Anolis sagrei: one gene and its partner. The protein of the gene in region 2 purifies or fractionates together with the protein of the main gene of each other region. This does not show direct contact. Links are inferred from orthologs where the notes say so. Each region holds a gene or a part of one and is shown on either strand. Other genes may lie near its edges.

The links.
Region 1: the proteins of TRAF3IP2 (region 2) and CD40 purify together in Homo sapiens (affinity purification with western blotting, with the first as the bait; 3 studies listed by BioGRID). This does not show direct contact. The link is inferred for Anolis sagrei from reciprocal best matches to the Homo sapiens genes TRAF3IP2 and CD40.

Annotation. Positions count from the first base shown.
Region 1 is NC_090024.1:248,016,140-248,031,940, reverse strand, and holds the start of CD40 (tumor necrosis factor receptor superfamily member 5), read left to right. Parts: upstream 1-8,881; 5' UTR 8,882-8,941; coding exon 8,942-9,040; intron 9,041-15,801.
Region 2 is NC_090021.1:92,791,876-92,807,980, reverse strand, and holds the start of TRAF3IP2 (E3 ubiquitin ligase TRAF3IP2), read right to left. Parts: upstream 5,839-16,105; 5' UTR 5,814-5,838; intron 5,738-5,813; exon of another isoform or gene 5,444-5,737; intron 1-5,443. UniProt on the Homo sapiens protein: E3 ubiquitin ligase that catalyzes 'Lys-63'-linked polyubiquitination of target protein, enhancing protein-protein interaction and cell signaling. Transfers ubiquitin from E2 ubiquitin-conjugating enzyme UBE2V1-UBE2N to substrate protein.

The DNA of each region.
Region 1 (15,801 bases), on a different chromosome or scaffold from region 2:
AAGGCCTGATGTCCAAGCTGGGTTCAGGAAAGGAGGAGGCACCCGGGATCACTTTGCAAACATATATTCGATATGCAAATAATTTCAGAAGAAAATTATTATAGATGATTACAAATACTTTTGAGTATATATAGAGCACGAAAACATACGGGTGGCTCTTAAAGAAATGGTTGTCCTAAGGCTTCACTTGAGCTCAGGACAAGAGGCTACTGTTAGGACAGAATGTGGAAGGGCAGCATGGTTTCCAAACGGCAGAGCAATCAGAAAGGCTGCATTTTGCCACTCTCCCCGTTTCATTTGCATGCTGAATGTATCGTATGTAAAGCAGAATTAGATTTGGAGGAAGGAAGCATGACAATAGCAGAGACTTGCCCCAGACAGTCAAGGAAGAAGATGCAAAGGCAGCAAAACATTAAGAAAAGCCAAAAAAGGATCACAAATTGTTGTTGTTGTTGTTGTTGTTGTGAACTGGCACCAAGTTGTCTTTGGTTTATGGTGACCCCATAAGTGAGAGACCCCATGCCACCCTATCAACAACAACAACAACAACAACAACACTTTGAGTCCCCCCAGGGTGAGAAAGACGGTATATAAATACTGTAAATAAATAAATAAACAAACAAACAATAGCACTTACAATATTCCCAAGACTGGATCTGAATCGGACCCTAAGGTCACCTTAAAGCAGGCATGGGCAAACTTCAGCTCTCCAGGTGTTTTGGAGTTCAACTCCCAGAATTCCTAACAGACGACAGGCTGTTAGGCATTGTGGGAGTTGAAGTCCAAAACGTTTGGAAGGCCGAAGTTTGCCCATACCTGTCTTAAAAGGACAGTGTGCTGTTGTTGTTGTTGCTGTTGTCATCACCCCACTTTTGTCTCTTGATCAAGTCACAAAGGAAGTCTCAGTGCAAGAAAAAACGAAATGCAAAGAGACAGAATGGGGGACAATGCCTGACTTGAGAGCAGGACGTGTGAAAAAGATCTTGGGGTCCTCGTGGACAACAAGTTAAACATGAGCCAGGAATGTGATGTGGCGGCAAAAAAAGCCAATGGGATTTTGGTCTGCATCAAGAGGAGCATCGTGTCTAGATCTAAGGAAGTCCTGCTCCCCATGCTCTATTCCTCCTTGGTTAGACCACACCTGGAATATTGTGTCCAATTCTGGGCACCACAATTCAAGAGAGATATTGACTCTAAGCTGGAATACTGTGCCCAGAGGAGGGTGACTCAAATGATCAAGAGTCTGGAGAACAAGCCATATGAGGAGCGGCTTGAGGAGCTGGGCATGTTTAGCCTGAAGAAGAGAAGGCTGAGAGGAGACATGATGAGAGCCATGCATAAATATGTGAGAGGAAGCCTCAGGGAGGAGGAGGGAGCAAGCTTGTTTTCTGCTTCCTTGGAGACTAGGACGCAGAATAATGGCTTCAAACTACAAGAGAGGAGATTCCATCTGAACATTAGGAAGAACTTCCTGACTGTGAGAGCTGTTCAGCAGTGGAACTCTCTGCCCCAGAGGGAGTGTGGTGGAGGCTCCTTCTTTGGAAGCTTTTAAACAGAGGCTGGGTGGCCATCTGTCAGGGGTGATTTGAATGCAATATTCCTGCTTCTTGGCAGAATGGGGTTGGACTGGATGATGGCCCAGGAGGTCTCTTCCAACTCTAGGATTCTATCATTCTATGACTCTGAGAGCCGTTCAGCAGTGGAACTCTCTGCCCCGGAGGGAGTGTGGTGGAGGCTCCTTCTTTGGAAGCTTTGAAACAGAGGCTGGGTGGCCATCTGTCAGGGGTGATTTGAATGCAATATTCCTGCTTCTTGGCAGAATGGGGTTGGACTGGATGATGGCCCAGGAGGTCTCTTCCAACTCTAGGATTCTATCATTCTATGACTGTGAGAGCCGTTCAGCAGTGGAACTCTCTGCCCCGGAGGGAGTGTGGTGGAGGCTCCTTCTTTGGAAGCTTTGAAACAGAGGCTGGGTGGCCATCTGTCAGGGGTGATTTGAATGCAATATTCCTGCTTCTTGGCAGAATGGGGTTGGACTGGAGGATGGCCCAGGAGGTCTCTTCCAACTCTAGGATTCTATCATTCTATGACTCTGAGAGCCGTTCAGCAGTGGAACTCTCTGCCCTGGAGGGAGTGTGGTGGAGGCTCCTTCTTTGGAAGCTTTGAAACAGAGGCTGGATGGCCATCTGTCAGGGGTGCTTTGAATGCAACATTCCTGCTTCTTAGCAGAATGGGGTTGGACTGGATGATGGCCCAGGAGGTCTCCTCCAACTCTTGGATTCTATGATTCTATGACAGTGTGTTGTTGTTGTTGTTGTTGTTGTTATTGTCTCTTGATCAAGTCACAAAGAAAGTCTCAGTGCAAGAATTCTTGTGCTTAAGGTTGGGAACAACTTGGTGCCAGTTCACAACAACAACAACAACAAGAAATATAATCTGTGGTCCTTATTTGGCTTTTCTTAATGTTTGGCTGCTGTTGCATCAAAAGCCCAATATTGCATAAACTTGTTCGCGCGCTCTCTCTCTCTCTCTCTCTACACACACACACACACATGCACACATTCATAGCCTACAGAGACATCATGATGTGTCAGGAATTTCCCACCAAACCTCTTGCTTTCTTTGGTAAACTGGGTACTTTCTGTGGCACAAAAGCCCCAGAGAAAACACAGCCCCTGAGTCCCGTTCCCCACTTTAGTCTTTCTGCTCCAAAATAAGGAAATGTACCCTTGAACACACACGCACACGCACACAGCCAACAGGACTGAAGACTGATAGGTAGAGGTTGGAATCCGGGGAGAGCAAGGATGAGCTCCCTTTGTCAGTTCCAGCTTCCCATGCAGGGACATGAGAGAAGCCTCCCACAAGGATGGTAAAACATCAAAACATCCAGGCAACATCCCCTGGGCAACGTCTTTGCAGATGGCCAATTCTCTCGCACCAGAAGCAACTTGGAGTTTCTCAAGTTGCTCCTGATGCCAATATGTATATGTATATATATATTATTATTGTATTGTCGAAGGCTTACATGGCTGGAATCACTGGGTTGTTGTAGGTTTTTCCGGGCTATATGGCCATGTTCTAGAGGCATTTTCTCCTGACGTTTCGCCTGTATCTATGGTAAGCATCCTCAGAGGTTGTGAGGTCTGTTGGAACTAGGAAAAAGGGTTTATGTATCTCTGGAATGACGAGGGTGGGACAAAGGACTTTTGGCTGCTGGAGCTAGGTGTGAATGTTTCAACTGAGCACCTTGATTAGCATTTGATGGCCTGGCAGTGTCTGGAGAAATCTTTTGTTGAGAGGTGATTACCTCTCAACAAAAGATTAATTACCTCTCAACAAAAGATTGCTCCAGGCACTGCCAGGCCATCAAATGCTAATCAAGGTGCTCAGTTGAAACATTCACACTTAGCTCCAACAGAGAAGAGTCCTTTGTCCCACCCTGGTAATTCCACAGATATATAAATCCTTTTTCCTAGTCCCAACAGACCTCACTACCTCTGAGTATGCTTGCCATAGATGCAGGCAAAACGTCAGGAGAGAATGCCTCTAGAACATGGCCATATAGCCCGAAAAAACCTATATTATTATTATTATTATTATTATTATTATTATTATTATTAATTGAACAGATAAAGTTTAGACAATGTCAAGCAGCAATCAGACTGTACAGCAGGCATGGGCCAACTTGAGCCCTTCCTCCAGGTGTTTTGGACTCAAAATCCCACAATTCCTCACAGCCTGGGGCCCCTTCCTTCCCCCCTCAGCTGCTTAAGCAGAAAAGGAATCATAAAAGGGAAAGGAAAGGGCCTGAGGCTGTGAGGAATGGTGGGAGTTGGAGTCCAAAATACCTGGAGAGAAGGCCGAAGTTTGCCCGTGCCTGAACTAGAGTAGAATCACACAACCCCAAGGTGGCAACCGAGCCTTTGGTATGAGTCGCCCATAAACTGAGAAAGGTGGTATACAAATGTAGTAAATAAATAGATAAATAAATAAATATTTTCCTAGCAGAATTCAACTGGGAGATATTGACAAGCTGGAATGTGTCCAGAGGAGGGCGACTAAAATGATCAAGGGTCTGGAGAACAAGCCCTATGAGGAGCGGCTTAAGGAGCTGGGCATGTTTAGACTGAAGAAGAGAAGGCTGAGAGGAGATATGATAGCCATGGATCAATATGTGAGAAGAAGCCACAGGGAGGAGGGAGCAGATCAAGGGTCTGGAGAACAAGCCCTATGAGGAGCGGCTTAAGGAGCTGGGCATGTTTAACCTGAAGAAGAGAAGGCTGAGAGGAGATATGATTAGAGCCATGTATAAATATGTGAGAGGAAGCCACAGGGAGAAGAAGGGAGCAGGCTTGTTTTCTGCTTCCTAGGAGACTAGGACGCGGAACAATGGCTTCAAACTACAAGAGAGGAGATTCCATCTGAACATTAGGAAGAACTTCCTGACTGTGAGAGCCGTTCAGCAGTGGAACTCTCTGCCCCAGAGGGAGTGTGGTGGAGGCTCCTTTTTTGAAAGCTTTTAAGCAGAGGCTGGATGGCCATCTATCAGGAGTGATTTGAATGCAATATTCCTGCTTCTTGGCAGAATGGGGTTGGACTGGATGGCCCATGAGGTCTCTTCCAACTCTTTGATTCTAGGATTCTATGATTCTATGGGGAGCGGAAGCCAATGATGGGGCAGGGGATAGAATCCTAGAATCCTAGAATCAAAGAGTTGGAAGAGACCTCCTGGGCCATCCAGTCCAACCCCATTCTGCCAAGGAGTAGGAACATTGCATTCAGAACACCCCCAACAGATGGCCATCCAGCCTCTGCTTCAAAGCTTCCAAAGAAGGAGCCTCCACCCACTCCGGGGAAGGCAGAGAGTTCCACTGCTGAACGGCTCTCACAGTCTGGAAGCTCTTCCTCATGTTCAGATGGAATCTCCTCTGTTGGAGTTTGAAGCCATTGCTCCAATGCGTCCTAGTCTCCAAGGAAGCAGAAAACAAGCTTGCTCCCTCATACCATGGGGTTGGTGCAGCCAGATCTTTGGGGGGTTGGAGTTGCTTGTCCTTTCTACGCCATTCATTCCCACCCCCTCCTCGGCAGGTCTTGAGAAGCGGTTTCTACGAAACTGCAAGTGACTGCAGGGTCAGTTCCTCTTTCTTATCTAAAAATGAGTTCAAACACATTTTGGGGGGGGGGGGGGGGAGTGAGGATGACATTATATGAACGTTGCGACTGGGCTGTGTGTGTGATTTCCAACATCGGGATAATATGAAGAGGAGAGGGTCAGGATACTAGAGTGACCCTCTGGGGTCTGACCCTTGAAGACTGGATGGCTCTCTATTGCAGCGTTTCTCAACCTGGGGGTCGAGACCCCTGGCGGGGTCGCGAGGGGTTGTCAGAGGGGTCGCCAAAGACCATCAGGAAACACAGTATTTTCTGTTGGTCATGGGAGCTCTGTGTGGAAATATTGGCCCAATTCTATCGCTGGTGGGTCTCAGAATGCTCTGATTTTAGGTGAACTCAAAAATCCCAGCAACTACAACTCCCAAATGTCAAGGTCTATTTCCCCCAAAATCCACCAGTGTTCACATTTGGGCATATTGAGTATTTGTGCCAAGTTTGGTCCAGATTGATCATTGTTTGAGTCCACAGTGCTCTCTGGATGTAGGTGAACTACAACTCCCAAACTCAAGGTCAATGCCCACCAAACCCTTCCAGTATTTTTTGTTGGCCATGAGAGTTCTGTGTGCCAAGTTTGGTTCAATTTCACTGTTGGTGGAGTTCGGAATGCTCTTTGATTGTAGGTGAACTATAAATCCCAGCAACTACGACTCCCAAATGACAAAATCAATCCGCCTGCCCAATCCCACCAGTATTCAAATTTGGACATATTGGGTTTTTGTGCAAAATTTGGGTCCAATGAATGAAAGTACATCATGCATATGAGATATTTATGTGATGATTCATAACAGTAGCAAAATTCCAGTTATGAAGTAGCAACAAAAATAATGTTATGGTTGTGGGTCACCACAACATGAGGAACTGTATTAAGGGGTCGCGGCATTAAGAAGGTTGAGGACCACTGCTCTATTGGGAGGGCTTGGATGGTGCTTTTCCTGGCAGGTTGGGGCTGGGCTGGATGGCCTTTGGGGTTTTTTCCTCCAAGTCTAGGGTGCTAGGACCATGGACAGGGATTGACCCAGAAGAGGCAGGGAAGGAGCGTCTCTCTCTACTTTCTGCGGAAGGGAAACTGGACGGGAAGGCAAGAAAAGTCAGCAGGAAACCCCAGGGAGACAAGGCTGCATAAGCAAGGAAGGAAGCAAGGAAGGAAGACCCCTCCTTGGGTTTTCCGGAGGACTTTTCCTGCCGTGGAGTTCCCTGTGGGTCTTTACAAAACATTGCAACAGACATGCATGAGCCATGAGCCAACAATGTGATGTGGCGGCAAAAAAAGCCAATGGGATTTGGGCCTGCATCAATTGGAGCATAGAGTCTAGATCTAAGGAAGTCATGCTGCCCATGCTCTATTCCGCCTTGGTTAGACCACTTTACCTGGAATATTGTGTCCAATTCTGGGCACCACAATTCAAGAGAGAGATTGACAAGCTGGAATGTGTCCAGAGGAAGAGGGCGACTACCATGATCAAGAGTCTGGAGAACAAGCCCTATGAGGAGCGGCTTAGGGAACTGGGCATGTTTAGCCTGAAGAAGAGAAGGCTGAGAGGAGACATGATGAGGGCCATGGATCAAGATGTGAGAGTTGACAAGCTGGAATGTGTCCAGAGGAGGGTGATTAAAATGATCAAGGGTCTGTAGAACAAGCCCTATGAGGAGCGGCTTAAGGAGCTGGGCATGTTTAGCCTGAAGAAGAGAAGGCTGAGAGGAGATATGATAGCCATGTATAAATATGTGAGAGTTGACAATCTGGAATGAGTCCAGAGGAGGGTGATTAAAATGATCAAGGGTCTGTAGAACAAGCCCTATGAGGAGCGGCTTAAGGAGCTGGGCTTAAGGAGAAGAGAAGGCTGAGAGGAGATATGATAGCCATGTATAAATATGTGAGAGTTGACAAGCTGGAATGCGGAAGGGAAACTGAACTGAATGTTTCCACCTGAACATGAGGAAGAACTTCCTGACTGTGAGAGCCGTTCAGCAGTGGAACTCTCTGCCCCGGAGGGAGTGTGGTGGAGGCTCCTTCTTTGGAAGCTTTTAAGCAGAGGCTGGATGGCCATCTGTCAGGGGTGATTTGAATGCAATATTCCTGCTTCTTGGCAGAATGGGGTTGGACTGGATGGTGGCCCAGGAGGTCTCTTCCAACTCTTTGATTCTAGGATTCTATGCGCATAAGTATTTGTTGCAAACAGTGTGCTGTTTTCCAGCTATTTGTGTTCCATGATCATTTCTCCGATAATATCTTTTCTTTAAGGAGTCACAGTCTTCTATTTGAATCGTACATACTCATAAAGGCATCCTAGGCTCTAAAGCAGTGGCTCTCACCCTTCCTAATGCCGCGACCCCTTAATACAGTTCCTCATGTTGTGTTGACCCACAACCAGAAGATTGTTTTCGTTGCAACTTCATCACTGTCATTTTGCCACTCTTAAGAATCGTCATGTCAATATCTGACATGCAAGAGGTATTATCATGCACTGGACCAAATTTGGCACAAATATCTTATACGCCTACATTTGAATGCTGGTGGCGTTGGGGGATAGTTGATTTTGTCACTTGGGAGTTGTAGTTGCTGGGATTTATAGTTCACCTGTAAACAAAGAGCATTCTGAACTCCACCAACGATGGAATTGGACCAAACTTGGCACACAAAACTCCTGACACCAACAGAAAGTACTAGAAGGGTTTGGTGGGCATTGGCCTTGAGTTTGGGAGTTGTAGTTCACCTATATCCAGAGAGCACTGTGGACTCAAACAATGCTGGATCTGGACCAAACTTGGCACAGAGTTTGCTTGGAGTTGTAGTTCACCTACATCCAGAGAGCACTGACAGATCTGGACCAAATTTGGCATGGATAATCAATATGCCCAAATGTGAACACTGGTGGAGTTTGGGGGAAATAGACCTTGACATTTAGGAGTTGTAGTTGCTGGGATTTATAGTTCACCTGCAATCAAAGAGCATTCTGAATTCCACTAACAATGGAATTGGACCAAACTTGGCACACAAATCTCCTGAGACCAACAGAAAGTACTGGAAGAGTTTGGTGGGCATTGACCTTGAGTTTGGGAGTTGCAGTTCACCTACATCCAGAGAGCTCTGTGGACTCAAACAATGATAGATCTGGACCAAACTTGGCATGGATAATCAATATACCCTAATGTGAACACTGGTGGAGTTTGGTGAAAATAAACCTTGACATTTGGGAGTTGTCATTGCTGGGATGTATAGTTCACATACAATCAAAAAGCATTCTGAACTCTACTGTCAAAGGCTTTCATAGCCGGAATTATTGGGTTGTGGTAGGTTTTTTCGGGCTGTCTGGCCATGTTCTAGAAGCATTCTCTCCTGGTGTTTCGCCTGCATCTGTGGCAGGCATCCTAGGAGGTTTTGAGACCTCCCAACCTCTGAGGATGCTTGCCCTAGATGCAGGCGAAACGTCAGGAGAGAATGCTTCTAGAACATGGCCAGACAGCCCGTAAATTTCTACAAAAACCCAATTATGGGGATCTTCCTGGTCCTGTTTGGCCGGGAATGCTCTGGAAGGGAAACCCCGGAGGCGATGGGGAGGGCCAGTGGGGGGGGGGGCGCTCTGCCCATGCTCAGAGGCAGGGGGGGATTCCCCGGCGGGGCGGCATTGGGCGGAGGGGAGGGGGCGGGGCGGGGCAGGGGGCGTGGCGCCTCTTCTGTCTCCTCCTCCTCCTCCTCTTTCTTCTTCCCGGGGGGCTCTTAAGGGCAGCGCTCCGGCCCTCCTCTTGCAGAAGGAAGAGGGTGGGCATGGGGTCTGGCTGGAGGTCAGCGGGGCTCCGGCCAGGGCGCTTCTTCTCCTCGTGGGCGCTGACCTGGGCCCTCCTCGCCACCCACCTCGGACGCGCCGTGAGTTTCGCTTTCGCTTCGGACACCAAGAAAAGGGGGGGGGGGCACAGGTCGGGGCTTTCCTTTCTTTCTTTCTTTCTTTCTTTCTTTCTTTCTTTCTTTCTCGCTTTTATTTCCCTCCCTCCCTTCTTTCCCTTCTTTTCTCTACTCCTCCCTTTCTGAGTCCCGGGGAGGAGGAGAGGGTCCCTCTCTGCCCGAAATGGGGGCTTCTGGGGGGAAAGGGGGTGGAACTGCGCTTTCTTTCCTTCCCTTCCTTCTTAGAATCATAGAATCCTAGAATCAAAGAGTTGGGAGAGACCTCCTGGGCCATCCAGTCCAGCCCCATTCTGCCAAGAAGCAGGAATGTTGCATTCAAATCACCCCTGACAGATGGCCATCCAGCCTCTGCTTCAAAGCTTCCAAAGAAGGAGCCTCCACCACACTCCGGAGCAGAGAGTTCCACTGCTGAACGGCGCTCACAGTCAGGAAGTTCTTCCAAATGTTCAGGTGGAATCTCCTCTCTTGGAGTTTGAAGCCATTCTTCCATTGCGTCCTAGTCTCCAGGGAAGCAGGAAACAAGCCTGCTCCCTCCTCCTCCCTGTGGCTTCCTCTCACATATTTATACATGGCCCTCATCATATCCCCTCTCAGCCTTCTCTTCTTCAGGCTAAACATGCCCAGCTCCTTAAGCCGCTCCTCATAGGGCTTGTTCTCCAGACCCTTGATCATTTTAGCCGCCCTCCTCTGGACACATTCCAGCTTAGAGTCAATATCTCTCTTGAATTGTGGTGCCCAGAATTGGACACAATATTCCAGATGTGGTCTAACCAAAGCAGAATAGAGCATGGGGAGCATAGAATCATAGAATCATAGAATCAAAGAGTTGGAAGAGACCTCATGGGCCATCCAGTCCAACCCCATTCTGCCAAGAAGCAGGAATATTGCATTCAAATCACCCCTGACAAATGGCCATCCAGCCTCTGTTTAAAAGCTTCCAAAGAAGGAGCCTCCACCACATTCCGGGGCAGAGAGTTCCACTGCTGAACGGCTCTCACAGTCAGGAAGTTCTTCCCTGGATCTAGACACTAGGCTCCTCTTGATGCAGGCCAAAATCCCACTGGCTTTCTTTCTTCCTTTCCTTCCTTTCCTTGATCTTCTTTCTTTCTTTCTTTCCTTCCGTCCTTCCTTTCCTTTCCTTTCCATTCTTTCCTTTTTCCCCTTCTCTCATTCCTTCCTTTCTTTTTTCCTTTCTTTCCTCTCTCCTTCCTCCCTTCTTTTCTTTCCTTCCTTCCTTTCTTTTTCCTTTCTTCCCTCTCTCCTTCTTCCCTTCCTTTCCTCTCTCCTTCCTCCCTTCTTTTCTTTCCTTCCTCCCTCCCTTCCTTTCTTTTCTCCTTTCTTTCCTCTCTCCTTCCTTCCTTGCTTCTCTCCTTCCTTTCCTTCCTCTTCTTTCCTTCCTTCCTTCCTTCCTTCCTTTCCTTTCCTTTCCTTTCCTTTCCTTTCCTTTCCTTTCCTTTCCTTTCCATTCTTTCCTTTTCCCCCTTCTCTCATTCCTTCCTTCCTTTTTCCTTTTTTCCCTCTCTCCTTCCTCCCTTCTTTTCTTTCCTCCCTCCCTCCCTTCCTTTTTCCTTTCTTTCTTCTCTCCTTCTTCCCATCCGTTCTTCTCTCCTTCCTTCCTTCCCTTTCTCCTTCCTCCCTTTCCTTTCTTACTTCTCTCTGTCCTTCCTTTCTTTTTTCCTTTCTTTCCTCTCTCTTTCCTCCCTTCTTTTCTTTCCTTCCTTCCTTCCTTTCTTTTTCCTTTCTTCCCTCTCTCCTTCTTCCCTTCCTTTCCTCTCTCCTTCCTCCCTTCTTTTCTTTCCTTCCTCCCTTCCTTCCTTTCTTTTCTCCTTTCTTTCCTCTCTCCTTCCTTCCTTGCTTCCCTCCTTCCTTTCCTTCCTCTTCTTTCCTTCCTTCCTTTCCTTTCCTTTCCTTTCCATTCTTTCCTTTTCCCCCTTCTCTCATTCCTTCCTTCCTTTTTCCTTTCTCCCCTCTCTCCTTCCTCCCTTCTTTTCTTTCTTCCCTCCCTCCATTCCTTTTTCCTTTCTTTCTTCTCTCCTTCTTCCCATCCGTTCTTCTCTCCTCCCTTCCTTCCCTTTCTCCTTCCTCCCTTCCCTTTCTTACTTCTCTCCGTCCGTCCTTTCTTTTTTCCTTTCTTTCCTCTCTCCTTCCTTCCTTCCTCTACTCCCACCTGTCTTTTTTCCCATCCTCCCCTTCCATTCCTTTCTTCTTTCATTTCATCCCTTCCCTTTTCCTTTCCTCCTTTCCTTTCCAGGTCGTTTGGTGGGGGGGGGGGCTTCCTCGCGTCCCCACCCTCGGCCCCTCCCCCACCCAGGGACCCCTCCCTTGGGGATCCCCCACCCCCCATTGACTATGAACTAGTTCAGAAGTATGGTGTGTTCTCCAAGATCCTTTCACCACCGTCCCAAACATAGTTGGTGGGGAGGAGAGGGGGGTGGCTTCTCAGTGGTGGCCCCTGGGTTTGGAATGCCTTCCCCAGGGAGATTTATTCATTTTATGTACTGTATGTGTATACTGCCCTTCTCAGCCCTCAGGAGATGAGGCTGGCACCCACTCTGTCCGCCTTTCGCAGAGACCTCAAAACTCAAATGTTCCAGTGTTCCTTTGATCATGATTAGATTCCCAGGTGGCACAGCGAGTTAAACCGCTGAGCTGCTGAACTTGCTAATTGGAAGGTTGCCAGTTTGATTCCAGGGAGTGGGGTGAGCACCCACTATTAGCCCCAGCTTCTGTCAACTTAGCAGTTTGAAAACATGCAAATGTGAGTTGATCAATAGGGACCAGGAAATCAGAAGATGTTTCCTTCTTGGGAGGAGAGCGTTGGCCAACCTCAATGAAAGAGTGAAGAGTAGAGACATCACACTGGCAACGAAGGTCCATGGTATTCCCTGTAGTCACCTACGGAGGTGAGAGCTGGAACATAGGGAAGGCTGAGTGAAGGAAGAGAGATGCTTCTGAACTGTGGTGCTGGAGAAAAGTTCTGAGAGTGCCTTGGACCACCAGAAGATCCAACCAGTCCATCCTCCATTGGAGGGAAGGAGATGAGAGGCCAAGAGGAAGTCCTTTGCCCACATCATGAGAAGACAGGAAAGCTTAGAGAAGACAATGATGTTGGGGAGAATGGAAGGAAAAAGGAAGAGGGGCTGACCAAGGGCTAGGTGGATGGATGGCATCCTTAAAGGGACTGGCTTGACCTTGAAGGAGACCCTGGGGGTGGTGACGGTCAACAGGGAGCTCTGGCCTGGGATGGTCCAGGAGGTCACGAAGAATCATAGAATCAAAGAGTTGGAAGAGACCTCATGGGCCATCCAGTCCAACCCCTTTTTGCCAAGAAGCAGGAATATTGCATTCAAATCACCCCTGACAGATGGCCATCCAACCTCTATTTAAAAGCGTCCAAAGAAGGAGCCTCCACCACACACTCTGGGGCAGAGAGTTCCACTGCTGAACGGCTCTCAATGAAGAGTTCAACGCAACTGAACAAATAAACAACAATAGGTACTGCTTTGGTGGGAAGGTAATGGCACTCCTTGTAGTCATGCAGGCCACATGACCTTGGAGATGTCTATGGACAACGCTGGCTCTTTGGCTTAGAAATAGAGAAGGACACCAGAGTCGCAGAGTCAGACACGACTGGACTTAATCTCAAGGGGAAACCTTGACCTTGACCTTAGGCCCTGTCTATGAACACCCATTGGATGGTCCAGGAGGTCACAAAGAGTTCAACGCACCTGAACGAATAAACAACAGCAATAGGTACTGCTTTGGTGGGAAGGTAATGGCACTCCTTGTAGTCATGCAGGCCATATGACTTTGGAAGTGTCTATGGACAATGCCGGCTCTTTGGCTTAGAAATGGAGATGAGCACCACACCCCAGAGTCAGACATGACTGGACTTAATCTCAAGGGGAAACCTTGACCTTTGGCCCCGGCCGTGAACACCCATGGGATGGTCCAGGAGGTCACGAAGAGTTCAGCGCAAGTGAATAAACAACAACAATAGGTACTGCTTTGGTGGGAAGGTAATGGCACTCCTTATAGTCATGCAGGCCACATGACCTTGGAGGTGTCTGTGGACAACGCTGACTCTTTGGCTTAGAAATAGAGAAGGACAGCAGAGTCCCAGAGTTGGACATGACTGGACTTAGTCTCAAGGGGAAACCTTGACCTTAGGCCCCTGTCCATGAATGCCCAGCCCTAACTGACCGTTAGAGTGGACTCAGCATTTTCCTGCAGCCCTGGCCTTATCATGGGCTCTTTGCACAAGCTCCTGCCCACTCCTCTCTAATTTCTGACCTTGCCCATAGTTAGTGAGATTTGTTTTGATTCCTTTTGGGCTTGTTTTTAAATTGATTCATCAGATTGTCATGTGTTTGCTACGTTTTTAAATGTGTTATTAGCAATTAGCTCCCTTGGGTTGGGCATGTTCCTGCATGTAAGCCGGTCCAAGTCCCTTCGGGGAGAGAGATGGGGTGGGGCATAAAAACAATGTTATGATTATTGTTATTATTATCACATCCTGAGAGGGTTGGGGGGCTTTCCTATGCAAAGAAGAGGTGGGGAGTTTCCTGCAGGAAGGAAGGGAAGGAGGAAGACACCGCCCCCAGACCCACTTTTGGGTGAAAGAGGCTCCTCCCCCCCCCCCCCAAATTTGGTGAAAGGGAAACACAAAAAGGCAATACAGAGGAAACACAGGGAGATGGGGCAAGAAAGCCCTGCCTTGGAAAGAGGCCATTCAAAATGGGCCAAGGCCTCTTGGTGGGCCACAAGCTGGACATGAGCCAGGAGTGAGAGGCTGCAGCTCACAAGGCCAATGATATTCTCAGATGCATCCAGAGGAGGATTACGCCCAAGCAGAGCCAAATAGTAGTGCTGCTCTCTTCTTCTGCTGTGTCCACACCTTCCCTCCTGGAATAATCCTCAAATCCCTGTGTTCCGGTTCTGGGCAAAAGCCATTCAAGAAGGAGGTGGACGAGAAGGAATCATAGAAGAAAGGGCCACAAAAAGGGCCAAAGGTCTGGAAACCACAAGTCCCATCCATCCAGAGGAGGATTGCATCCGAATAGTAGTGCTACTCTCTTCTTCTGCTGTGTTCAGAGCTTCTCTCCTTGAAGAATCCCATCCCTCTGTCCAGTTCTGGGCAAAAGCCATCAAGAAGTTGGACAAGAGGAAAGGAAGGAAGGAAGGAAGGGGCCCAGAGAAGAGCCACAAAAAGGGCCAAGGTCTGGAAACCACAAATCCCACTAAGCTGTTTTGAGAATCTGGAGGAGAGAAGGGATCAAGGAGTTGGCCATCAATGTCCTGCCCTACATCCATCCATCCGACATCCGGGACATCCGTAGGGAGACCAAGGTGCTTAGAATCATAGAATCGAAGAGTTGGAAGAGACCTCCTGGGCCCTCATCCAGTCCAACCCCCTGCCAAGAAGCAGGAATATTGCATTCAAATCACCCCTGACAGATGGCCATCCAGCCTCTGTTCAAAAGCCTCCAAAGAAAGAGCCTCCCCCACACTCCCTCCGGGGCAGAGAGTTCCACTGCTGAACGGCTCTCACAGTCAGGAAGTTCTTCCTCATGTTCAGATGGAATCTCCTCTCTTGTAGTTTGAAGACATTGTTCCCTTGCATCCTAGTCTCCAAGGAAGCAGAAAACAAGCTTGCTCCCTCCTCCTCCCTGTGGCTTCCTCCCACATATTTATACATGGCTATCATATCCCCTCTCAGCCTTCTCTTCTTCAGGCTAAACATGCCCAGCTCCTTAAGCCGCTCCTCATAGGGCTTGTTCTTCAGACCCTTGATCTGCTCCCTCCTCCCTGTGGCTTCCTCTCACATATTTATACATGGCTATCATATCTCCTCTCAGCCTTCTCTTCTTCAGGCTAAACATGCCCAGTTCCCTAAGCCGCTCCTCATAGGGCTTGTTCTCCAGACCCTTGATCATTTTAGTCGCCCTCCTCTGGACACATTCCAGCTTGTCAATATCTCTCTTGAATTGTGGCGCCCAGAATTGGACACAATATTCCAGATGTGGTCTCACCAAAGCAGAATAGAGGGGTAGCATGACTTCCCTAGATCTAGACACTATGCTCCTCTTGATGCAGGCCAAAATCCCATTGGCTTTTTTTGCCGCCACATCACATTCCTGGCTCATGTTCCCCTTCCTCCCCACGAAGACTCCAAGATCTTTTTCACACGTACTGCTCTCGAGCCAGGCCTCATCGTCCCCCATTCTGTCTCTTTGCATTTCGTTTTTCTGCCAAAGTGGAGTATCTTGCATTTGTCCCCGTTCAACTTCATTTTGTTAGTTTTGGCCATTCATCTCTCTGGAATAATCATCATATCCCTGTGTTCCAGTTGTGGGCAAAAGCCATTCAAGAAGGAGGTGGACAAGAGGGAATCATAGAAGGAAGGGAGAGGTCCAGAGAAGGGCCACAAAAAGAGCCAAAGGTCTGCAAACCACAAATCCCACTAAAGAGATGTTTTAAGAATGTGGAGAAGAGAAGGGATCAAGGTGTTGGCCATCAGTGTCCTGCCCTACATCCATCCATCTGACGTTTGGGACATCCATAGGGAGACTAAGGGGCTTGTTTATAAAGCTATTGTCCTCCCAACCCTGCTATACACCTGCGAGACGTGGACTGTCTACAGATGTCAACATTGAGACTGAAATACAACACCGCCTGAACTCTGCAAGTGCAGCATTCTTCTGAATGAAGCAGAGAGTGTTTGA
Region 2 (16,105 bases):
ACACGTTTATTTTCTTCTTCCTCGCCCTGTGTGCACTTTTTTCTCCCTCTCCCTTGCCATGTGCGTGCCCTTTTCTCCTCCCTCGACCCTCGTTCACCTTTCTTCTCCCTCACCCTGCGTGGACCCTTTTTCCCTTCTCCCTCGCCCCATGTCTGCCTTTCCACCCCCCTTGCCCCCCCGCCTGCCTTTTTTCCTTCTCCCTTACCCTCAGCGTGCCTTTCTCTCCTTCTCTCTCATCTTGTGCGTGCTTTTCCTTTTTTCTCCCTCACTCCGTGGGCACCTTTCTTTCCTTCTCCCTTTCCCTGCATACCCTTTATCTTCCTCTCTCCCTAGCTGGGTTGCTCTGCCGAGAGAGAGAGAGAGCGGAGGAAAGGCCTCCTCTCCCACTTTTCCAGGAGCCATTGGCAGGCAGGGAAGGACTTCCATCAGCCTCCGTCGAGCTGCTGCTGCTGGGTTGCAGCTGCTCCTCTAGGCCTGCAGCAGCAGCTCGACGGTGGAGGTGTTCAGAGGTAGGACGCCGCTGCCTCCGCCGCTCCAGGAAGGCATGCGATTATTGCTGGGCTGGGAAAGGGCTGCCACTATCCCTATCAGGAGTGCCATTGGCATGTGGGTCGACCGCCATTTTGGAGGGGGCGTGGCTAGCCAATGCGGCATGGCGACCCCCAGAAAATGGCCAAACGACCCCCCGGGGGGTCGCGACCCCCAGGTTGAGAACCGCTAGACTACAGGGACTTCATGTTTAACTTACTAGTTACATGATAAATCTTTGCACATTTTATTTTCCACAACTCTGCCTGAATGTTTTTATTTAAACAACGAATAAGGAGGACTGGGTTCCACTTTACCACATTGAGCCAGTGTTCAACATAGTTATTTGTTTAGTAGTGGTCCCCTTGAGGCTTACATACCAGATCCATGAAACAGCAAGATGAATGACAGAAGCTCAGGAACTTGAACTCCACAGAAGTTGCAGTGAAAGAATGGAAGGTCAGATCAAAAAGAAAGTTTTTTGGTTGAAGGTGGGCTGTTAGAAGAGCTTTGTGGGTATTTTGGCCCATTCTTATTTATTTATTATCATTGATTTGCTTCATTTATACCACACCTTTTTCACCCCGCAGCTTACAACTCCGGCAAAATGCAATGCAGCTTAAAACTCTAACAATAAAATATATCCCATTAACTAAAACAATTAAGCAGATAAAACACATAGAAAAATAAGCAGATTAAAACATATAAAGTGCATAATTCCATTTATCCACCATTCTTATTCAGACTGTATCAGAACCTGTATAACTTATTCTTCAAATGCTTGTGTAGTACAGAGTCAGATCTTTAGCTTTCCCCCTGCCCTGAAAACCAGAAGAGATGGGGCCTGCCTGATGTCACTGGGGAGGGATTCTACAACTGAGGGGCCACCACTGAGAAGGCCCTGTCTCTCGTCCCCACCAATTGCACTTGCAAGAGGGGTGGGACTGAGAGCAGGGCCTCCCCAGCTGATCTTAAAGCTCTTGTTGACTCATAAGAGGAGATGCCTTCGAACAGGTAAGTTGGACCAGAATTGTTTAGGGATTTATAGGCAAAAACCAGCACCTTGAATTGGGCTCGGTAGCAGAACGGTAGCCAGTGGAGCTGACACAACAGGAGGGATGTCCTCTCTCTGTATGCCATGCTCTGATGTTTGGTGCAAGCAATATTACTTGTAGACAGGGTTTTCAATATGACTTGCTTAGTAAACTGCTCAATACAATTATAACATTAATAATATCTTATTTATCTACTCAGTCTTTTTCCTGGAGCAGCTTGGAATTCTTCAACGTTTGCTGAATTAAATAAGAGCAATATAATACACAACAGTCGCCATTGTTTTACATATTCTTTGCAATTACCAGACCTACAAGAAACTTCAAATGTTAAAACTATGAAGTCTGAGTTGGGGTGCATCTACATTGAATATTTAATACAGTCTGACACTGCTTTAACTGCCATGGACCAATATTACGGAATCCTGGGTGTTGGTGAAGCACAAGCACTCTTTGGCCGAGAAGGCCTATAACCTTATAAAGCTGCAACTCCAATGGTCCCATAGCATTGAGCCATGGCAGTTAAAGTGGTGTCAAATTGCATTAAATATTCAATGTAGATGCATCCTAAGACAACAAAACACTGTCATATTATTTAAACTCTTGAATCCTTGTAATTTCTTTTCCTTCACTTTGTATTTTAATAGAAAACAATAACACAGATATTGCTTGGGTAAATAATCTCTGAAGCCTTCAGTAACTTGCACAGTAGAATACCCTTGTGACCTGGCACTTCCAAATGTTTACTTTTTAAAGTTCTAAATCTTGAGGCAGGACTAAGAGTCTTCTGTTTAACTTGTCAGTTTGGCTGAAGGAAGAGGAAGCATGGAAGTGGTGTGGGAAATGTTCTCCCTCAGCTAAAACAGTGAAGCACAGTAATGTTCACAGATAAAGGATTGTGGCAATGGATAACGACATTCATTCAAGCTTTCAAGGAAATAGGAGGGAATAGAAAAAAGAAGCAGATGTTCCAGTTTATCTTGGATAAGTCTGTCCTGACAGAGAGTTCGGATTCCTAACACCAGGAGCTTCAGTGTTAAAGCAAGCTTATAGCTGTGTGCTCAAGCCCATTCTTTACATTTCTTAATATAATTCTTCATGGCCTGTTTGAAATCTGTGCAGTTTCCCTTTCTAAAGGCTTGTGTCAGCAGATGAGATCTCCAAAGGAGCCTGTATAACCAGCTTGATTTTGATTACACCTTCTTCTGACAGCAGCGAGAAAGAATATGCAGCGAAGAATGGCTCGCTAGGTAAATTCCCACTTCAAAGGCCTTCAATTTCATGCCATTTAATATTGCTATGAGACAGGTCCATTGCTAAGATACTGGCAGGGGAGGAGAAACAAAAAAGACAGCATTCTGTGACGTGAACATATGTTTGAGAGAATAAATTTCAGTTGTCTTTATATATTTTCCTCAGATATATTTTTCTTAAATTAAACAGAGCACAAGAGAGGTCTCACAGAGCAAAACAATATTTTAACCAGCCAACTATTCTGGTTTTAGCTGCATTCCATTCTGGATTATCTGACAGATAGATATGACAGCACAAAGCACTAATAGCTAGTGTTCCAACCAATGACAGCTAGTTTCATCTTCAACCTCAGGTTTCTCCCTGAAAAGGAGAATAGAATAATGCTTAAAATCTACCTGCTGATCGCTTTTGGCATTACTGATTATTTAACCATTCATCCAGCAGCAAGATATCATGGTACATATCAAATGTGCTCAGGGTACATGTTTGTGCTGCCTAAAAACACTATTCTGACTTGTGAACTCATTGCAAATTAAAAGCCAGTGAACACAGCATTTCATATTTTGGGTCTTCCTGTGTCAGAATTAAGAGCCCAAATTTAACAGCAATAGTGAAGAAGTAAGATTAAAAACATTCCTTATGGAGAAAAATGGAAGTGGCTGAGAATTTAAAAACAAAACAGTAAAATCATAATAAAAGTAAGAATGCATAGCCACAATAAAATCAACATAACATCACTTTTCTTGAAGCAGCAGAAAGCAACAAAATCCCAGCGGAATTAAAAAAGTCTTCAGGAATATTGGGAAAGGAAGGATGAAAAGAAAGCCCATGATGAGCTACTCCACAGAGATGGCCCCCTATCATTGACTCTGTAACATGCAGAGATATCTATAACAACAATTGTGATTGCCCCTATCATTGACCCCAAGAAATTAAACATCCACTGTAAACAGCCAGAGACTAGGGGCCCTTCCACACAGCCCTATATCCCAGAATATAAGGCAGAAAATTCCGTAATATCTGCTTTGAACTGGGTTATCTGTGTCCACACTCTGATAATGCCTAAATATATGTATATGCATTTTTTATTAAAATTTATTTCACTAAACCCATCTGCAGGGCATCCTATCTGCAATTACCCTGAAATAAGCCCTGCTGCATGCCTCTAATAAGTGTGCAGAGAATTGCAGCCTCAGCATTGGTTATGGAGGGTTTATGACACCAAAACAAGCACAAGGGTTATAAGAAGCAGCCCTGGAATCCTAGACAAGGCCCTTTAGCAATCCAAAACAACCATGTGCAAACTTTTGTACTCCAGAGGTTGCAACTTCAATTCCTGACTATGCTAACTGGGCTACATCATTCTACACCAAACATGGGCAAACTCCAGCCCAGTGAGAGTTGAAGTCCCAAACACCTGGAGGGCCAAAGTTTTCTCATGCTTGTTCCACAATGTAGAATGAATGCAGTTTGGCACCACTTTAGCTGCCGTGGCTATGGAATCATGGGAGTGGTAGTTTGGGCACCATCGCCCTTTGGTGGACAGTGGACACTGTAGTGCTACAACTCCCAGGATTCCATAGCATTGAGCCATGGCAGTTAAGATGTTGACAAACTGCAATAATTCTTCAGTGCAGATGCATGCCCTACCTCACGCATGGGCAAACCTTGGCCTTCCAGGTGTTTTGGACTTCAACTCCCACAATTCCTAACATCGGGTTATAAGAAGCAGCCCAGGAATTCTAGTCAAGGTAAATCAAAAACAACAATCTGCAAACTTTGGTACTCCAGAGGCTGCAACTTCAATTCCTGACTATGCTAACTGGGGTGCATCATTCTACAACAGGCACTGGCAAACCTGAACCTTCCAGGTGATTTGGACTTCAACTTCCACCGTTTCTAACTACCTCAGGCCCTTTCCTTTTCCCCCTCAGCCGCTTAAGTCCAAAACACCTGGCCCAGGTTTGCCGCGGCTGAGGGGGGAAAGGAAGGGGCCTGAGGCTTTTAGGAATGGTGGGAGTTGAAGTCCAAGATATCTGGAGGAAGGCCATGTTTGCTGCAGCTGAGGGAGAAAAGAAGGGGCCTGATTAGGAATGGTGGGAGTTGAAGTTTAAAACACCTGGAAACCCTAGGCTTGCTATGGCTGAGGAGGAAAAGGAAGGGTCCTGAAGCTGTTAGGAATGGTGGGAGCTGAAGTCCAAAACATCTGGAAGGCCCAGCTTTGCTGAGGGGTAAAAGGAAGGGGCCTAAGGCTGTTAGGAATGGTGGGAGTTGAAGTCCAAAACACCTGGAAGGCCCAGGTTTGGCCATGCCTAGAGAGAATGAATGCATTTGGGACACCCCATTGAACCTCCATGTCTCACTGCCTCCCAGATCCTGGGGGGCAGTGAGGGCCTGCAAAAACTATAGTTCCCCTGATCCCATAGCACTGAGCTGAGTCAGGGAAAGTGGTGAAACACCCTCTGTGAATCCCACAGATACACTCAACGCCCGTTTTGTGTTGTGGGAGAGAAGAGGGGAAGGGCCATGCTGAGGGGAGAAACGACTGTGAGAAGGAAGGCGAGGGGAAGGAAGTGGGGCAGAGGGGGGAAGGCCTGGGACACACTCACCCCTCGGGAAGGAAGGAAGGTAGGAAGAAGAGGGCCTCCAAGGAGGAGGAGAAGGGGCAACAGCAGCCTCTCCTTGCGGGGCTGCCACCCGGCCTACTTCCGGCCTTTCTTTCTTTCCTCCTCCTCCTCCAGCCAGGTAAGAGGCCGAGGCAGCGCCTCTCGTTCCAGGAAGTCGCCCGCTTCGTCTATGCAAATCTCAGGCGGCGGGGCAGGAAGGAAGGAAGGCCTAGGCCGCGCCTGGGCAAACTTCGGCCCTCCTCCAGCAGTTTTGGACTGCAACTCCCATCATTCCTAACAGCCTAACTATATTCCTCACTATAGCATAGTTAAAGATGTCTCAGACTGGATTAATTCTACAGTAAAGACGCACCCTAACCTCTCTTCACCTTCAAGGCAGCTTTTACCTGAGTGCCTCTGGTTGCTTCTGCACCACCTGACATCCTCCGGGAAGGGGCAGCCCATAATGAAAGGACCATGGCAGTGACATCTCCAGCCCATCCCCTGTTCGGATATCAGCCAGCACGCCAACGCCTTAAATCAAGAAATAGTTTTCTATGATCTACAGAGATACCTGCAGGAAGCAAGCAAGAGTCCAAAATTGGCAGTGCAAAAATCTGGAACCTCAACCCATGGCTGATACCAAATGAGAGATTCCCTCCTGGGCACACCGAAGACTGGGCAACTTGGAACAGACTGTGCTCTGGCATCATGAGATGCAGAGCCAACCTTAAGAAATGGGGCCACAAAGTGGAGTCCACGACATGTAAGTGTGGAGAAGCGCAAACCACAGACCACCAACTACAATGCAGTTAATGCCCTACCACATGCACAATGGAGGGCCTTCTTATAGCAACACCAGAGACACTCCAAGTGACCAGCTACTGGTCAAAGGACATTTAATATAATGCCAAGTTTTTAAACTTTGTGCTTCTTAAATACATTGCAACTGTACCCTCGGTTCACTTCTGACACGATAAATGAACCTGAGTGCCTCCTCTCTCCTGCTCAGTCCACCAAAGGCTACATATACATATATTGGTAAGTAGTTGAATACAGTGATTGAAGATTGGAATCCTTCCCTTATATAAACGCACAATATGTACGTTCGTATTTATGAAGACATTATTCTTAACTGACATCACTGACATGCTATTCTCAACTTTTACAGAAGTAGGAAGCTTAACTGTCAGAAACCTGAGGCCTATTTCTCATGAAATAAAGAGCAAAGAGTGTTGTTATGTAATAATAATAATAATAATAATAATAATAACAACTTTTCCATTGAATAAAGGAAACTACAGGCAGTTCAAGGGCCCGCTGGTGGCGCAGCAGGTTAAACTGCTGAGCTGCTGAACTTGCTGACTGAAAGGTTGGCGGTTCGAATCTGGGGAGTGGGATGAGTTCCTGCTGCTAGCCCCAGCTTCTGCCAATCTAACAGTTCGAAAGCATGTAAATGTGAGTAAATCTATAGGTACCACTTTGGCGGGAAGGTAACGGCGCTCCATGCAGTCATGCCTGCTATATGACCTTGGAGGTGTTTATAGACAACGCCAGCTCTTTGGCTTAGAAATGGAGATGAACACCAACTCCCAGAGTCAGACATGACTAGACTTAATGTCAGGAGAAAACCTTTACCTTTACCTGTTGTTAAAGCCCTTTAAAGTGTTACTGTTGAAGGGGGAACTATGCATTCTCTCAGAGGTTCCCTTCACTTCTGCGCTCAAGGGGGTGGCACAGGGATGGACACACGGACAGACGAGTTGAGTCAAGTGAAGAAGGCTATTCTGCCTTGGTCAGACCACACCTGGAATACTGTGTCCAATTCTGGGCACCACAATTGAAGAGAGATATTGACAAGCTGGAATGTGTTCAGAGGAGGACAACTAAAACGAACAAAGGTCTTGAGAACAAGCCCTATGTGGAGCAGCTTAAAGAACTAGGCATTTTTAACATTCAGAAGAGAAGGCTGAGAAGAGACATGATGGTTATGTATAAATATGTGAGGAGAAGTCATAGGGAGGATGGAGCAAGCTTGTTTTCTGCTGCCCTGGAGACTAGGACACCAAACAATGGTTTCAAACTACAAGAAAGGGGATTCCATCTGAACATTAGGAAGAACTTCCTGACTATGAGAGCCGTTCAGCAGTGGAACTCTCTGCCCCAGAATGTGGTGGAGGCTCCTTCTTTGGAGGCTTTTAAGCAGAGGCTGAGTGGCCATCTGTCAGGGGTGCTTTGAATGCAATTTTCTTGCTTCTTGACAGAGGGTTGGACTGGATAGCCCAACTCCATGATTATATGATAAAATAGCAGGAGGCCCTCCTGTGAGAGAAAACAGGGAATGTGACTTCAAGGCAAGCAGAGAAAACCCCTTGTTAAGTACTGTGGTACCTGTTCCAACTTATATACAAATTCAACTTAAGAACAAACCTACAGAACCTGTCTTGTTTGTAACTTGGGTACTGCCACTATTTTAACTATATCCCTTCCTAAGAGGCAGAGTTGGGGTTTGGGTTCAGTGGGTTTAGAAATATTGAACTCCCTGCAAAAAAATACAAAAGATTAGCTCTTCAAGCTGAGTTCTGAGTTCTACAAGGACAGGATGCATACCTTCTGTTCTGCCAGTCCATAGGGGCCTCCATTAACAAGTCCAAGGATTCATGAAAGAAAAACAAGGCCAACAACTGGAAATGGTTTTCTTCTGTCGGCTGCCAAATTCCTAGAAACATGATCTGGAAAACGTCTGGGAGCGATCAGGGAACCAAGCAGACAGCTGTCAGCTCACTTGGAGACCTTTGCCTGGTGTAATATTCACTTTGGCTGTTAGAGAAAGTGCCAGAGAAAAAGGTGCCAGGTTTCCAAAAAAAGAGAGGAAAGCATGCATAGCTCTGAAATCCAACTTATTTTGTAAGATAAGAGACACAGTACCCCTGACTGCCTCTCCCACTGAAATAGTAATTTGTAGAAGAACAAGCATTTACCACCACTTCCCCGAACTACAAATCCCAGAAGTAACAACTCCGCAAACTATAAACCACAAAGCGAGAGTATGGTGCTGTAATGAAAGTAAAGGCTTAAGTTTATCCCTACTCACCACAGTCCTTAACTAAAGTGCTACCCACTTTGGAAGCAGTGTTATTTCATTTGCCTTGGGTTTTTTTCATTTGTATTTACAAGATTGCATTGCAGAAATAAGGTGTGTGTGAATCAATGGTGTTCTGATCATTAATAGCAATTCTCCCCTTGTAGGGTTGATGAATTTGAAACTCATGGATGACTTTGGGTTCTTCCAGACAGGCCCTATATCCCAGGATCTGATCCCAGGTTTTCTGCTTTAAACTGGATTAAAGCTGGATTAAATTATTTTTGTTGTTACTTTACAACTGTAATTTTGCTACTGTTATGAATCGTCATGTAAATATCAGATCTGCAGGATGTATTTTCATTCACTGGACCAAATTTGGCACAAATACCTGATACGCCCAAATTTGAATTCTGGTGGGGTTGGGGGGGGGGTATTGATTTTGTCATTTTGGAGTTGTAGTTGCTGGGATTTATAGGTCACTTACAATCAAAGAGCTTTCTGAACCCCACCAACAATAGAATTGGGCCAGACTTCCCACACAGAACCCCCATGACCAACAGAAAATACTTATTTTTCTGATGGTCTTTGACAACCTCTCTGACATAACCCCGGCGATCCCCCCCCCCCCCCATGCTGCTGTCAGGAGTTGTAGTTAGGTGGGGCGCCAGCACTCTGGCAAGAAAGAAAGAAAGAAAGAAAGAAATGCTAAAGACTGTGTAAACCTACAAGTGGTGCCAAACTACATTAATTTGATGTATTGTCAAAGACTTTCATGGCCGGAATCACTGGGTTGTTGTAGGTTTTTTTGGGCTATACGGCCATGTTCTAGAGGCATTTTTTCCTGACGTTTCGCCTGCATCTATGGCAAGCATTCTCAGAGGTAGTGAGATCTATTGGAACTAGGAAAGTGGGTTTATATATCTGTGGAAAGACCAGGGTGGGACAAAGAACTCTTGTCTGCTGGAGCTAGGTGTGAATGTGTCAACTGACCACCTTGATTAGCATTTGATGGCCTAGCAGTGCCTGGGGCAATCTTTTGTTGAGAGGTGATTAGATGTGCCTGATTGTTTCCCCTCTGTTGTTTTGCTGTTGTAATTTTTGAGTTTTTTTAATACTGGTAGCCATTTTGAGTTAGTTCTCACAGAGAAGCCTTTCGCACAGGACACAGAACGAAGTGGCTCCTGTAGAAAAGCTTCGTCTTTTACAGCTTGGCCGGGGTTATACAGCCCTACGGCTTGGCCAGGAGACATACAGCCACAGCTTGGCTGAGGGACTCCAGCCGGCCATCACAGCAACCTGAACTCCTTCTTTTTCCCTGGAGGTCTACAAAGCTCTGTTGAGGCAAGGGTCACTCACGGAAGCCAGATGCAGTTGGTACCGGGTGCAGGGGCTCCACGTCAACAGAGGCAAGTACAGACTGCCCAGATTAGAAGCTAGGATTTCCCCTTTAGTTAATTATAGTTAAGAAGATAGTGCCTGTTCCCTGCGGACAAGTTTGAGAGAACTGATACTTTAAAGCTCTACAATACCTGTTTGTTCCTTAATAAAAGAACTTTGTTGGACTTACTTTAAGCATTCTAAGGACTCTGTTTGGGGGAATCTAAGGGCCTTTATTCTGAGGCAGCCCCGGCGTCCCGTTGGGCACAGAGAATTTATGTCCTGTGTACAGTCTAATGCACAGGCCCAGCGTGCGACAGCACAGTCATTAGGATCCCGGGAACCTTGCTGGGGAAAGCATGAGCAGTAATCTAGTCCCTTAGCTGGCTTTATTTTAAAAATAACTAGATGGTTATTTCTAAAATAAATAACTACCTGGTTATTTATCGTGGCTGTTAACCCCAGCAAGAGAAGTGTCCTGTTAGAATGATAGAACCATAGAGTTGGAAGAGACCACATTAGTTCTCTAGTCCAACCCCCTGCCATGCAGGAAAAGCACAATCAAAGTATTCCCAACAGATGGCCATCCAGCCTCTGTTTAAAAGCCTCCAAAGAAGGATCTTCCACCTCTGTTCCTTGACTGTAGGGCTCTGCATCGGTGGCATATCCTTGTTCATAAGACCCTGACAGTGATGAATGTAGTAGAAAACGTGCTCCAGTGTAGCCAAGTCTGACAGCATGCTCTGATTTAAAATCCCAGTGGTACAATGAACCGTCTGGATTTTCACAAACTGCAGAGCTTCAGAGCAAGATCTTTCTTCTTTTGCACAAGTCTTACCCTCTAGATCCCAAATGGAATATAAAACGTGTACAAGGAAAACTAAAAACAAAGTATTAAGTGACTGAAATTTAAGATAAGGGTATCAAAGCAGAATAGAACACCAATGCCTCGGTGCCCCCACTGTCAGATAATATATTGTCGAAGGCTTTCATGGCCAAAATCACTGGGTTGTTGTGAGTTTTCTGGCTGTATGGCCATGTTCCAGAAGCATTCTCTCCTGATGTTTCACCTGCATCTGTGGTAGGCATCCTCAGAGGTTGTGAGGTCTGTTGGAAAAATGTCAGTATTTTTTACTCCGGGAAGCTTGCCAGGATTGAGAGTTTGCATTAAGCAGGGCACTGGACATCCTTCATCTTGGTTTGCCCACAAAATGTATAGGAACTACAAAAGAAAAGTGGAAATGGACTTCTGGAAACTGCAATTTTTATGCCTTCCCTTCTGTACGTTTTTTGTGGAGGTGCAGTCTGTGGTGAATTGCAAATGGGATAGAAAACTGGCTCTTGGGTGGCCCACATTTGGAGTAAAGAGAGGGTAAAGCAGAAAGAGATGGTTGTCAGCATGGAGAAAGAAAAGGGCAAAGTATATTATTTTTCAAACCACCCATTCCAGTACTTTGATGAAATATGGTTTCTTTGAAGCCATGATCAGAAGATTTTGATTTGAATTTTTTTGTGTATGAAGAAGGGAAGAAAAGGGAGCTCATGAGTCTTGAACGTCACAATGATTCATTTGCATGAACTAACCTGGAGCTTGGTGTTGCATCTGAATCAGGCGAGAGATGCTAATAAATCTGAAGCAATGCATTTGGAAATAACGTCCATTAATTACAGCAAGTCTCTAATGCCCAAGTAAATACTTTAAAGATCTGGATGGTAGACTAACAAGAGATATATGAGAGATCTAAAATATTTTCTACTACATGAGATTTTATTATAGTTTGCTCCTCCTCATAATATAATGTCACTTCTACTAATGAAGAAATTACAGCCCCTCTCCCTTAGAACTGTATGAGTTTCTAGAACCGTCAAATATTCATATTTTTAGGGTGTTATACCCAAGGCTTTGTTATATCCTGTTGAGAACCAAACAAAGGACTGGTGAACACAATGCCTGTACATTAATTTACACGTAGCTTCCAATTAACTCTCTCTTAATGATAAAAACCTCTCTTGCTATTTATTAAAGTTTTCCCCATAGCAATATATATCTCTTTAATTAAGATCAGCAACAAACTAATCTCTCTTTATTCCCTCTTGCTTTCAATTAGCAGCTCATTGATCATTACCCAGTAGACACACGGCGATTAACAGAACAAGAATAAACAATAGGACAGTTTCCTTGGAAATTATACTTCAGGAGCATGGAAATATGCAGCCAAGAGGCAGGGCCAGAATGGATCACCGAGAAAAAGCACCCATATAATTGAACTGCAGGCAACATTAAGAAAAGCTATAGGAGCGTCCATTGCAAGATGAGACATCACAGTTAAATAGTTGACTGATAGGGCAAGAATTATATATGGGGTGAATAGGAAAGGCTGAAATATTTTTAGTTCTTTTTTCGTGTCAGGAGCGACTTGAGAAACTGCAAGTCACTTCTGGTGTGAGAGTATTGGCCGTCTGCAAGGATGTTGCCCAGGGGATGCCTGGATGTATGATGTTTTACCATCCTATGGGAAGCTTCTCTTATGTCCCCGCATGGGGAGCTGGAGCTGACAGAGGGAGCTCAACTCGCTTTCCTTGCGTTCAATCTGCTGGATGGCCATCTGTTGGGGGTGCTTTGAATGCAATTTTCCTGCTTCTTGGCAGGGGGTTGGACTGGATGGCCCACAAGGTCTCTTCCAACTCTATGATTCTATGATTTTTTAGCTTTTGCAACACAGTTGACTCATGTTCCGCTTGTGGTCTACTAAGGCTTCTTTCGCTTGTACTATTGTGAAGCCAGGTATCACCCATCCTATGTCTGTGCATTTTTTTCTGTTTAAATTTAGAGCCTTACATTTCTTCTTGTTGAAATTCGTTTTGTTTTACCTAGCTCTTTAATCTGATAAGGTCCTTTTGGATTCTTATCCTGCCTTCTGTTGTGTTAGCTATCCCTCCTAATTTGGTGACATCTACAAATTTGATAAGCCTGCCCTCTGTGTTGAGGATTATTTCCTGGACAGCTTCCAGTTCTTTTGCAGGCTAATGAGAATCAACATGCCAGTGACAATCAGAGCTACTTCTCTTTTAATTCTCTTACAATGTTCAGGGAACAAAAGTGCACAAGGCCTTCTTAATAGAATGACATTAGGCGGGCAGTCTAGTGTAGAGTGTCAGCCTACTTTCCATACCAAAAAAATATAAATCTGCGACTTTCCTTTTTGGCAGTTGCATCAATGGCATGAAAGGTCTGTACATTAGTGAGTCTGCTGTCATAAGCCATTGGTACAATTTGAATCCATTATTTCCAATAAAAATCCCCGTTATAAGCATAGTCATTTAGACTGTTACAGCAAACATTCACTAGCACAGATATGGGCAAACTTCAGCCCTCCGGGTGTTTTGGAGTTCAGTTCCCACAACTCCTAATAGCTAGTTAACACACCTCCACAAAAGCTTGAGCTTGACAATCTGTGCAATCTAACTTGCACTTACTCCTCACTGCAATGTGTCTAAATCAGTGGTTCCCAACCTGCGGTCCGTGGACCACCAGTGGTCCACAATAACAAAAATATGGTTCGCAGCCTCCCCATTACTACACCATTGCTTTGAAACCACGCGGTAACGAGAGTGACTGGGCTTGCGAAACGCTCTTATAGTGCCGAGGCAATGGGGTTGTTGGGAGGGGAGAGGCTGACTACCCACAAAAGATTACTATGGACACATCAGCTCTATATTATTAAATATTGTTTTTTGTGGGCGAGCAGATAGTGACTACCGGATGGCATATGTTCTATATCAGAAACTAGAGCTGATGTGGTCTATCCAATGCAATTTTCTGAATCAGCACCCCAAATAACAAAATTGAATCTAAAGTTGACCAAAAACTGATTCGTAACCCTTTTGGTACTTACGTTGGAGAGCAGTACCTAGTCAAAGTGGTCCCTGGTTAAAAAAAAAAAAGGTTGGGAACCACTGATCTAAATAAAGAACACACCAAGAGACCTTTACGTCAATGTGGTATGTGGAGAAAACACTTGAAAGATTATCTTAATGATTAGGACAGCCTGGATCTGATTAGTCACCAAGGATTTCCCTCATAAAAATACCTCTCCGCACTTTTCTTTGTGTACTAGTAAAGACTGAAGATACAAATAAGCCATGTTGGAAGAGTCCTGCATGGACATTCCTGGAGGAAAAGAGCTTAACTAACGAACTGATATGGTGAATACTTACTTCAGGCACGAGCAAACTTTTTAATTTGGGAGCCAAATTGCGGACTGGAGAAGGGTGGGTGGGCCGGAGGGAGGGGTTCTTCTCAAGTCCCCCCTCGACCCTTTTCTCCCCTTCCTCTTCTCTTTTGGAGGCAGAAAGTGAAGGAAAGACAGGAAACGCTTGGATCCCAAACGGGTTGGCCTTTGTCAGGATGAGATAGTGGACAGGAGAGAAAAAGTGTATCCACGAGACTCTGTATTGCCTGCACCTGATAAAGAATCCTAGAACTGGAGGAGACCCCCCAAGGGCCATCCAGTCCAACCCCCTACCATTCAAGAAGGCACAATCAAAGCATTCCCAATAGAGAGCCTCTGCAGAAAAGCCTCCAGAGAAGGAGATTGCACCATACTCCTAGGCAGCCTATGCCACTTTCCAATAGCTCTTACTCTCAGGAAGTTCATTTCAGTTGAGTCTTTCCCTGCCATTTGAGCTCATTGCTTCCTTGTGCCCTGGTCTTTAGAGCAGCAGAAAGTCAGTCCCCCGCCCCTCAATGGGACGCCTTTTGAAATCTTGAAAAAAGGTTCTCATGTTCCCTTTCCACCTTCTCTTCTTCCAGCCAAACATCCCCCAGGAGGAAAGGGAGAAGGAAAAAGAGAAGGAAGGAAGGAAGAATGAAGGGAAGGATGGAAGAAAGGATTGGTGGAAGGGAATGGAGGGAAGGAAGGAAGGAAGGAGGAAAGAGAGAAGGGAAGGAGGGAGGGAGGAAGGAAGGAGAAAGAGTGGGAAGGAGGGAGGAAAGAGGGAAGGAAAGATAATTAGGTCAAAGGGAAGGAAGGAGGAATGGAGAAAGAAGGAGGGAAGGAGGGAGGGAAGGAAAGGGAGAAGGAAGGAAGGATAGGATGGTGCGAAAGAGGAGGGCCTGAGAAAAGAGCCCAAGGGGCCGCATCCAGTTTGCCCATACCTGACTTAGTTTCACATAGCTAATTCTATCTCTTATCTCTGGAAAAGATTTTGTGCAAAAGAAGCTCAGCAGGTCCAACCCTTCACCCAAAGAGCTGCTGGATCTCATCTTTACTTTTCTGTCTCTTACCTCATGTTCATGTTTTATCATCCCAGGAGTGGTATGTGGAAAAACACAGGCGTTCTCTAGCTACAACAACTGCTGCTCTTGCTCTTACAAGGAAACTTAAAGCTGTAAGCTATTATTGGAGCAACAAGAGCAAACTGTGAAGCTTAACTTAAAACATATGGAATATAAATATCATTTGAAGACAGAACAATCTTACCACATTTTCAATATGTCGAATCTTAAAATAATTGCTGTTAGTCAAAACAGAAGGAAATTTTTCTCCAATGGTCATGTACAAAGCTACTGGTTAATATTTAAGCCTCCCATAGAGCTAGTTCATATGCCAGTTCTGGGAGTGCCTTGGACCGCCAGAAGATCCAACCAGTCCATACTTCAGGAAATAAAGCCTGACTGCTCATTGGAGGGAAGGATAGTAGAAGCCAAGATGAAATACTTTGGCCACATCATGAGAAGACAAGAAAGCTCGGAGAAGGCAGTGATGCTGGGGAAAATGGAAGGAAAAAGGAAGAGGGGACAACCAAGGGTGAGATGGATGGATTGCATCCTTGAAGTGACTGGATTGACCTTGAAGGAGCTGGAGGTGGTGACAGCCGACAGGGAGCTCTGGCGTGGGCTGGTCCATGAGGTCATGAAGAGTTGGAAACGACTGAATGAATGAACAACAACAAACAATAGATGCATTTATCTTCAAAGAGTGTCCTGAATATATGAATAAAATTACAAATGCTTAGCTTAAGCTTACTCCTGCATCATTCATTGCTGTGTGAAACGTCTACATTTTCCCTGATGCCACGATATCTGGAATCCCCTCCAGAATACTTTCATTGTGCCATCTTTCTCCCCGCAAATTAAAATGCACCTTTTCTATGGATACTTTGGTTTAATTGATATTTACAGTAACCAATACTTCTCTAAT